Linked DNA regions of Macaca fascicularis. The protein of the gene in region 2 binds, or shares a complex with, the protein of the main gene of each other region. Links are inferred from orthologs where the notes say so. Each region holds a gene or a part of one and is shown on either strand. Other genes may lie near its edges.

Evidence for each region.
Region 1: the proteins of TNPO3 (region 2) and CIRBP are in contact, whole or in part, in a crystal structure (PDB 8CMK), measured with the Homo sapiens proteins. The link is inferred for Macaca fascicularis from reciprocal best matches to the Homo sapiens genes TNPO3 and CIRBP. Residues at the interface, in NP_036602.1 of Homo sapiens: Arg620, Glu660, Arg661, Cys663, Arg664, Arg667, Phe668, Arg671, Ser698, Cys699, Tyr702, Ser705, Ile706, Asp709, Glu710, Asp747, Asp750, Asp751, Arg754, Arg758; in NP_001271.1 of Homo sapiens: Tyr160, Arg161, Ser163, Tyr164, Asp165, Ser166, Tyr167, Ala168.

Annotation. Positions count from the first base shown.
Region 1 is NC_088393.1:1,852,762-1,855,774, reverse strand, and holds the end of CIRBP (cold-inducible RNA-binding protein), read right to left. Parts: intron 2,874-3,013; exon of another isoform or gene 2,813-2,873; coding exon 2,704-2,812; intron 2,601-2,703; coding exon 2,494-2,600; intron 2,411-2,493; coding exon 2,272-2,410; intron 2,191-2,271; coding exon 2,109-2,190; intron 1,769-2,108; coding exon 1,576-1,768; 3' UTR 1,322-1,575; coding exon of another isoform or gene 1,305-1,321; 3' UTR 575-1,304; downstream 1-574. UniProt on the Homo sapiens protein: Cold-inducible mRNA binding protein that plays a protective role in the genotoxic stress response by stabilizing transcripts of genes involved in cell survival. Acts as a translational activator.
Region 2 is NC_088377.1:170,513,656-170,518,049, reverse strand, and holds the start of TNPO3 (transportin-3), read left to right. Parts: upstream 1-1,422; 5' UTR 1,423-1,765; coding exon 1,766-1,885; intron 1,886-4,394. UniProt on the Homo sapiens protein: Importin, which transports target proteins into the nucleus. Specifically mediates the nuclear import of splicing factor serine/arginine (SR) proteins, such as RBM4, SFRS1 and SFRS2, by recognizing phosphorylated SR domains.

The DNA.
Region 1 (3,013 bases), on a different chromosome or scaffold from region 2:
GAGGGATGTGGGCACGAGCGGAAGGAGTTACCTCGAATTACAGGGCTATTTCCACATATGAGCTAGCCAAGGGAGCAGCTTGCGTCTCAGAGGGTTCTGTTGGGCGCACAACACTTCTGTCCTCCGAGGGCTGCAGCTTCCATAGGCTAGCAGAGAACGCTCAGAACTCGTGAAGCAACAGCAGAACTAGCTAACCGGCTGGCCGTCTGAGGTCGCCCTGGGATGCCACGTGCCTCCGCTCTCTGGCCTGCTTCTAGACTGAGGCAGTCCAGGTCAGCGTCGGGTGCACGTCCACTGTCCCTGCTAAGCTGCCCGCACAGTCCAGCCCTCTGGCCACCACTGCCAGAAGCCTCCCGGGGCTGCCCTGAGGCCTGAGCTGCCCGCTCCCGTCCCCCGCCTGGCTCCCCTACCCTGACCAGCGCCAATCTGCTGGGCCTCCCTTTCTAGCTCTCTCTGCAGGCCCCAGGGAAGGCTTGCAGACCTGCTGCTTCTCCGCCTTCTCTGCTCAGGTCTGGCTGCAGGAGCCTGCAGCAGGGAGTGTGTGGTGCAATGCAAGGGAATTGTCAGAGCAAGGTTCATTTCACACGGTCTTTTAATCGGCTTCGTAAAGCCAAAGAAAACTGCATACAAGAATTCCTCAGCCACTGCAAATACAACATCGATGGAGTATGCGTACGTCTTCCAGTAAAAAAGGACAATATAAATAAACATCTTCAAGAACCTCTCAGGGACGTCTGCACGTCTACTGTGGGGCGCACAGCACAGATGGGCGCAGGGGCCAGGGCTCCAGGGCAGTTGCTGCCACACCCGCCGGGGTCCTACCACACTACACTCAGAAACGTCACATGGAGTTGGAAAAAGCCACAGCTTGCTCAGCTTCCGACAAAGAGCGGATTCACAGTCCGTTCGATCTCAGAGGAGTGAGTGGGGCACCCACTTCATGGGGCCAACCCCACCAAAAGAAAAAAAGGCAACACAACCAAAAACTAAAAAACCAAAAACCCACACAACCCCCGATTTTTTTGAAAACTCATGGCTCGTGGTCAAAAAAGTAAATCTGAAGTGCTTTTCAAAATGTTTTGAAAACCCTTAAAAACAGCACTTCCTTAAAAAGAAAAGTCTAGTAACGAGGCCATCCTGGCGTCAGAAGCGGTCAGGCTGGGTTTGACAAGATCAGAACCGAAATGACTACGAAAGTGGGAATACAAGGAGGTGCGTTTACTACACGTATTAACGTTCAGCGAAGCTCCCACAATCTTTAAACACACAGCCATTGGAAGGACGATCTTGAGCAGGAAGGGTTTTTACTCGTTGTGTGTAGCTGAGGACAAGAAGCAGGCACAGTGTAAAGGCACCGAAGCAACGAGAGGCAGCTTCACCCCAGAGGCCAGACCAGGGCGCGGCCTGCGACCGGGGAGCAACCACCCCCCACAGCCGAGGGAGGCTGGCCTGCAGCCACACATGCACCTATGCTGACTGCCCAGCGGGCCCTCGCTCTCCCTTGCCTTTTTGGTCAGTCTCATTTGGCTTTTGTGTCCTGTGATAGAAATGGCTCTGAGAGGACAGACGTGCCTCTTATAGGCAAGCGCAGTGACAAGATCTGAGTGTCCAGCCTAAAGTGCTTGGAGAAGGTGCCAAGGTGAACCGAGCTCCCACCGCAGGCCACAGCAGCGTGGCACCCTCGGAGCGTGACTTACCGTAACTGTCGTAACTGTCTCTATAGGACCCGCCCGAGCTCCGGTCACTGTAGCCACCACTCTGACTCCGGCTGCAGGATAGACAGACATGAGTACCGGAGGATACCAGTCTACTTTTGCTCTGCCACAGCAGGCTGAGCCGTCAGCCCCCATGCCAGCTGTCCCTTCTGGGGACGCAAGGACCCCAGCAGGGTAGAGTCTCAGAAATCGTCCAAAACCTGCACCAGCCATGCCCCCCTGGCCTTCCCGCTTCTGCCACTGTCTTCAGCAGTTTCTTCTCCTCTTGGCCTGGGCCCCCTCCCGCCTCTGCTCCTTGGCCAGCCAGCCTCATCTCAGCTCCCTCAGGGACCTGGGACTGAAGCTGGCCATCCCACCATCACCCCTGTGCCCGGGTTGGTCTTCACCCCTCACCTGCTATAGTAGTCTCTGGAGCCACCGTAGCCCCCACTCCTGGACTCGAACCGGTTCCCCCCATAGCCTCGGTCCCCTCCTCCTGCATACAGGAAGAAGTGAGTACCAGCTCCCACCAGCAGTGCCTCACAGCATTCCCAAAGGGCCAACTCACGGCACTCACCTCTAGAGAACCCACGGCCCCGTCCTCGGCCCCCACGGAAGAAGCCCCGGCCCCCGGCAGAGCCACCACGGTACCCACGGGATCGGTTGTCTGACGACTTGCCTGCCTGGTCTACTCGGATCTGTCGCCCATCTACAGACTGGAGACCAGCGGATGGCACAGGTTAGTGGGTGGGTGCCCCATCCTCAGGATGGGGCTCCCGCTCAACACCCTGATCCTCACCTTCCCGTTCATGGCCATCATGGCATCCTTGGCGTCGTCAATGTTCTCAAAGGTGACAAACCCAAATCCCCGAGATCTCTGGGTCTCCCTGTCTTTCACAACCACCACTGTGCAGGGGAGAGAGGTCTGCAGTCAGCACCCAGCTGTACCTACAGTCAGGAGGAGCACAAGCCAGCCCCACCCGGGCCGCCGGCCCAGCACCAGCCTCACCTTCAGAGATCTGTCCGTATTTTGAGAAGACCTGCTCCAGCGACTGCTCATTGGTGTCAAAACTCAGCCCTCCAACAAAAAGCTTGCCTTCGTCTGATGCCATGGCGGCCTGTGGCAGACACCAATGAAATCCTCAACAGGGGTCATCTCTCACCACCTCTCCCCGCTTCCTATTTTATGTAAATGACATGTGTTTTTTAGGGGAAATATTAGAAAATCAGGTTATTGTTTTTCATTGTCGGAAACTCGTACCTAGGACTTAAGCTGTCACCCAGGCTGGAGTGCAGTGGTGCAATCATGGGTCACTGCA
Region 2 (4,394 bases):
GTGGCCCACACGGGCTCATAGGCCAAGGTGACCTTGCTCCAGTCCTTCACATTATCTGCAATGACCTTTGTCTGTTCAAAAACAACCTTCTCACGGATGCCAGCTTCCCTTTCACCTAGCTTCTCCCCAGTGCAGGTGATTACTCCGAGTCCCTCTGCCAGAACATGGGCCACTTTCTGCCCAATCAGCTCATCTGACTCCCCAAAGACATGCCTTCTGAGTGCCCCAGGACCACACCACCTATGTGACTCCTAAGTCTTTGACCATGCCAGGGCTGATTTCCCCAGTAAAGGCCCCGTTAGCCACTTTGCAGCAGTTCTGCGCAGCCACAGCAATCTTGGGATCTAGCGTCTGCCGGGCCAAATCGATACAGGCAGTGGGGAGAGCACAAATCACTTCGGTATGGGCAGGCACAGTGGCCGCGTTCTGAGTGCCAATGAGCTCCCCCAGACACTTCTTCCGCCCGTTATCTTCCAGTTCCTCTCCACGAAGAACTTCCTGGAGGGCGCCATGGCGCCGGAGCTGAGGTGCCGTAGGTCAGTGTCAGCGCCTAAAACGGGTTTTAATAATACTTGGCAAGGTTGTTAGGCGGATTAAATGAGCTCTTGTAACTACAGTGTTTTACACATTGTGAGCATTTATCAAATAGCAGTTATTTACTAGTGCAAAGGACTAGCAGCAATGTTCATATTAATATACTGTTAACCTTTTGTCCCCAATTTCTCCAGAGTACAGTTTCCAAGATTTCTGTTTTCTTTTGTGAACTGTTAGACCACTGGTATTGGATTCGGACAGAAAGGCATTCACAAAAATACGGTTCAATGTGAGAATAATCCTAAAGATGTATGCAAAACACTCTGGAGTTAGAGCACCAGGAGCTGTAAGCGGAATGAAAGACCTCTTTTGGGCTTAAGAACTAAATAAAGGGGAGCTGACAGAGATTCTAGGCATTTTGGATTTATCTCAATGTGGCACATATTTCAGGTTTGTAAAATAGTTCAGTTGACTACGTGTCTGTCTCCTCCACTAGAGCCAGCGTAGGCACCATGTCTTAAGTCATTTTGGATCTCCAGTACTGTGGCCACTACAGGGAGAGTTGAATTGACGCGCCTTGATCACCAGGGCAGAAAAGGATTCTCTGGAGAGGGATAGGGAAGTCGGAAGGGGGAGGAAAAACCTGGATCCATTTCCAAGGAGCTGAAGGCAGCTTAGATATGGGACACATCTCGGTGCTAAAGCCCCAAGCTGGAAGCGAGAAACCGAGAGAACAACACCGGCTCTTCTTCCCGGCTCCTGGCCCGGTAGGGCCACTTCCGGGAGGGGGCGGGGAGACAAGAGGAGGCGTGCCGGGAAGGAGGCCGTTTGTAGTGTACCAGGCGGAAGTGTGCCAAAGGTATCGGTGCTGTCGCTTCCGGTCCGGGTAAACGCACCTTAGGTACACGCTGGTGTGTGGCGTGCGAAGATAGGCGTCTGAAGGCAAGTCAGCGAGTGAAGACGGGAGCGCCAGAATCTGTGGACTCAGAAGTCTGGGGTCTAGTGGAAAAACCGGAAAAAAGGCCAGGAACCTGAATACGACCTAATAGCTGTTTCCGAGGGGGCAACTTCCACGGGGAACCTTCTGCCCTGGTAACGGCCAAAGAGGAGGAGATGGCGCCAGTCAGGGAGCTGCCGTGGCCCAGACAGTGAGGAAGCGCGAAGGCGGAGCAACCGTGGAAGCCTCGGGAGAAGAATCAGAGCCGTCGCTACCGCCACTGCCGCCACCACCATGGAAGGAGCAAAGCCGACATTGCAGCTCGTGTACCAGGCAGTGCAGGCGCTTTACCACGACCCAGATCCCAGCGGAAAGGAGCGCGCCTCGTTTTGGCTTGGGGAGCTGCAGCGTTCGGTGAGGGGCCCAGAGAGGCAGTTCTGTGCCGCGGGGCCGGGGCGAGGTGGAACCTAGGCTCCAGGGGAGAACCTGAGCCCGGCGGTTGACCTCGTGAGGTCCTCCTTGGGGAGGAGCTGCTGTCGTGGGGTGGGGCTGCGAAGCTACATCTTTGCCGCTTTTGGGAAACTAGTCGCACCTGATCGGTCGCGAACTGGCCCTTTCCCCACCCGGTGGAATCTGATTTGTAGGTCTTATACTTTTCGATTGTGGCATCGATCTAGTCTTGTTTAAGTTCTGTCTTTGCCGTTGCTTCTTGGGCCGTGCTTTTCCGTTTTGTCTTCCTCCCACCAAATCCAACCCCAGTGTTTCTCCACCTTCCGCTTAAGAATGGTTTATTGGTCTCCTCTCCGTGTCCAAGACTTGCATCCGGCAATTTCCTCCCAGTCGTAGCCTTATGCCTCACTCTTTTTGCCTGTTTTCACTCCAGTTTGAGTCTGTTCTTCTCGAAACTTCTCAGGTTTCTAGATTCTTACTCGTGCGAGTTTTCCCCTTGCTTTGGAATGGCAACATAATATGAAGAAAAAATATTAATTCTGCGTTCAGAAAATCTTTGGAGTTCTAATTTTATTTCATATTAATCCTCTAACCTTGTTATTTCTCTGGCTTTTAGATTTTTTTATTTCTAAAATGGGTATCACTGCTGCTTTGATTATTCCATATAAAACTGTATGTGCATCCAGTGAGATATTTAATTGTAGCTTATATCTATTGTATTTCTGCATTCGTTGATTCATGTTTTATGCTTCCTTCCCTAATTTTCACACCTTTGCTGTGCTTCATTTCTGTGTGAGTGTGTATTCTTGGTGATCTGGCTGACTTAGGTCCTAATGTAGTATGCACTTTAAAAATTAAGTACTTTGAAAACAACTAAAGAAGCTTTTTTACAGGCTGACAAAATACTCACCTTTGCCTTTATTTTTGCATTTTATACTAACAAGCATATTTTTTTGCCCCTCTTCCCTTTAACTCATAACTGATACTTAAAGGTGCTCTGCCTTATTAAATCAGCTCCTAGACTGCAAGTTCATGATATTTAAAAATTTGCAACTTTGACTTTTTAAAAATCTGGTCTTGGTATGGAGCAACTTTGCCTTTTTTTTTTTTTTTTTTTTGAGACAGAGTCTCGCTCTGTCGCCCAGACTGGAGTGCAGTGGTGCGATCTCAGCTCACTGCAACCTTCTCCTCCTGGGTTCAAGCGATTCTCCTACTTCAGCCTCCCGAGTGACTGGGATTACAGGTGCCCGCCACGATGCCCGACTAATTTTTTTTTTTTTTTGAGACAGAGTCTGGCTTTGTCACCCAGGCTGGAGTGCAGTGGTGTGATCTCGGCTCACTGCAACCTCCTCCTCCCAGATTCAGGTGATTCTCCTGTCTCAGCCTCCCGAGTAGTTGGAATTACAGGCGCACGCCACCACACTCAGCTAATTTTTGTATTTTTTAGTAGAGACAGGGTTTCACCATGTTGGCCAGGCTGGTCTCGAACTCCTGACCTCAGGTGATCTGCCCACCTCGGCCTCCCAAAGTGCTGGCACTAGAGGTGTGAGCCACCGCGCCTGGCTGCAACTTTGCCTTTGAATATTAAACTTAAAAAATTGGTGCCCAAGTCCTCGTTAGAAAATAAAGGAATACGACTCACTGTAGGCTACACAAGAAAATCATTCACATATGGTCTCATTTAGTGTTTCTGTGATCTCTGGAGAGTCACAATTCCCTGATCTTCGTTTAGTTTTCTAAAGTATAAATAGGAGAAATGCTACACTTCACTGCAAAAGTCCTATCTTTCTAATTAAACCTGCTTGTTGTGTGTATTTTAAATCAATATTTGAGTGCTTACCATGTGCCAGCAACTATGCTGGGTGTTTGGATTTGGAAATGAACTAGAAAAAAATCTCTGCTTATCACGGAAGGTGGTTGTGATTAAATGAGTTAATATTCTACGAAGAGCTTAGAAAAGTTCTTGGAACATAGAGATTAAAATGTTAGCAATTGTTATTTAAATATTAGTCACTTTTCTCTCCTTACTTTCCACTACTCTATTACAACCTTACATCATCTTCACAGATGGGATTTCCCATTGGCCAAACCCAGCCGGAAGCCAGGCGACACAGTGACCTATTGGTAAAGTCTATACAGGTCAGCCTATTGGAGCAGAAAACATGACAGAAGAGGGTGGAAAAGTGGATCTGGAAAATATCCAGCAGTCACACTTCATGTTTAGGCAACTTCAGCATCTGGATTGACAGTTCAGCTAACATTTTGGCCTTTTGATTCCTTTACCTCTTCATTCTCTTCAGTCACCTGGTCACACAATCACACCCTGGATCTTGTCTTTACTAAAAAGCCACCACCCAGGCTGTCATGACTGTAATCCCAACACTTTGGGAGGCTGAGGCAGGCGGATCGCTTGAGGTCAGGAGTTCAAGACCAGCCTGGCCAATATGGTGAAAACCCGTATCTACTAAAAATA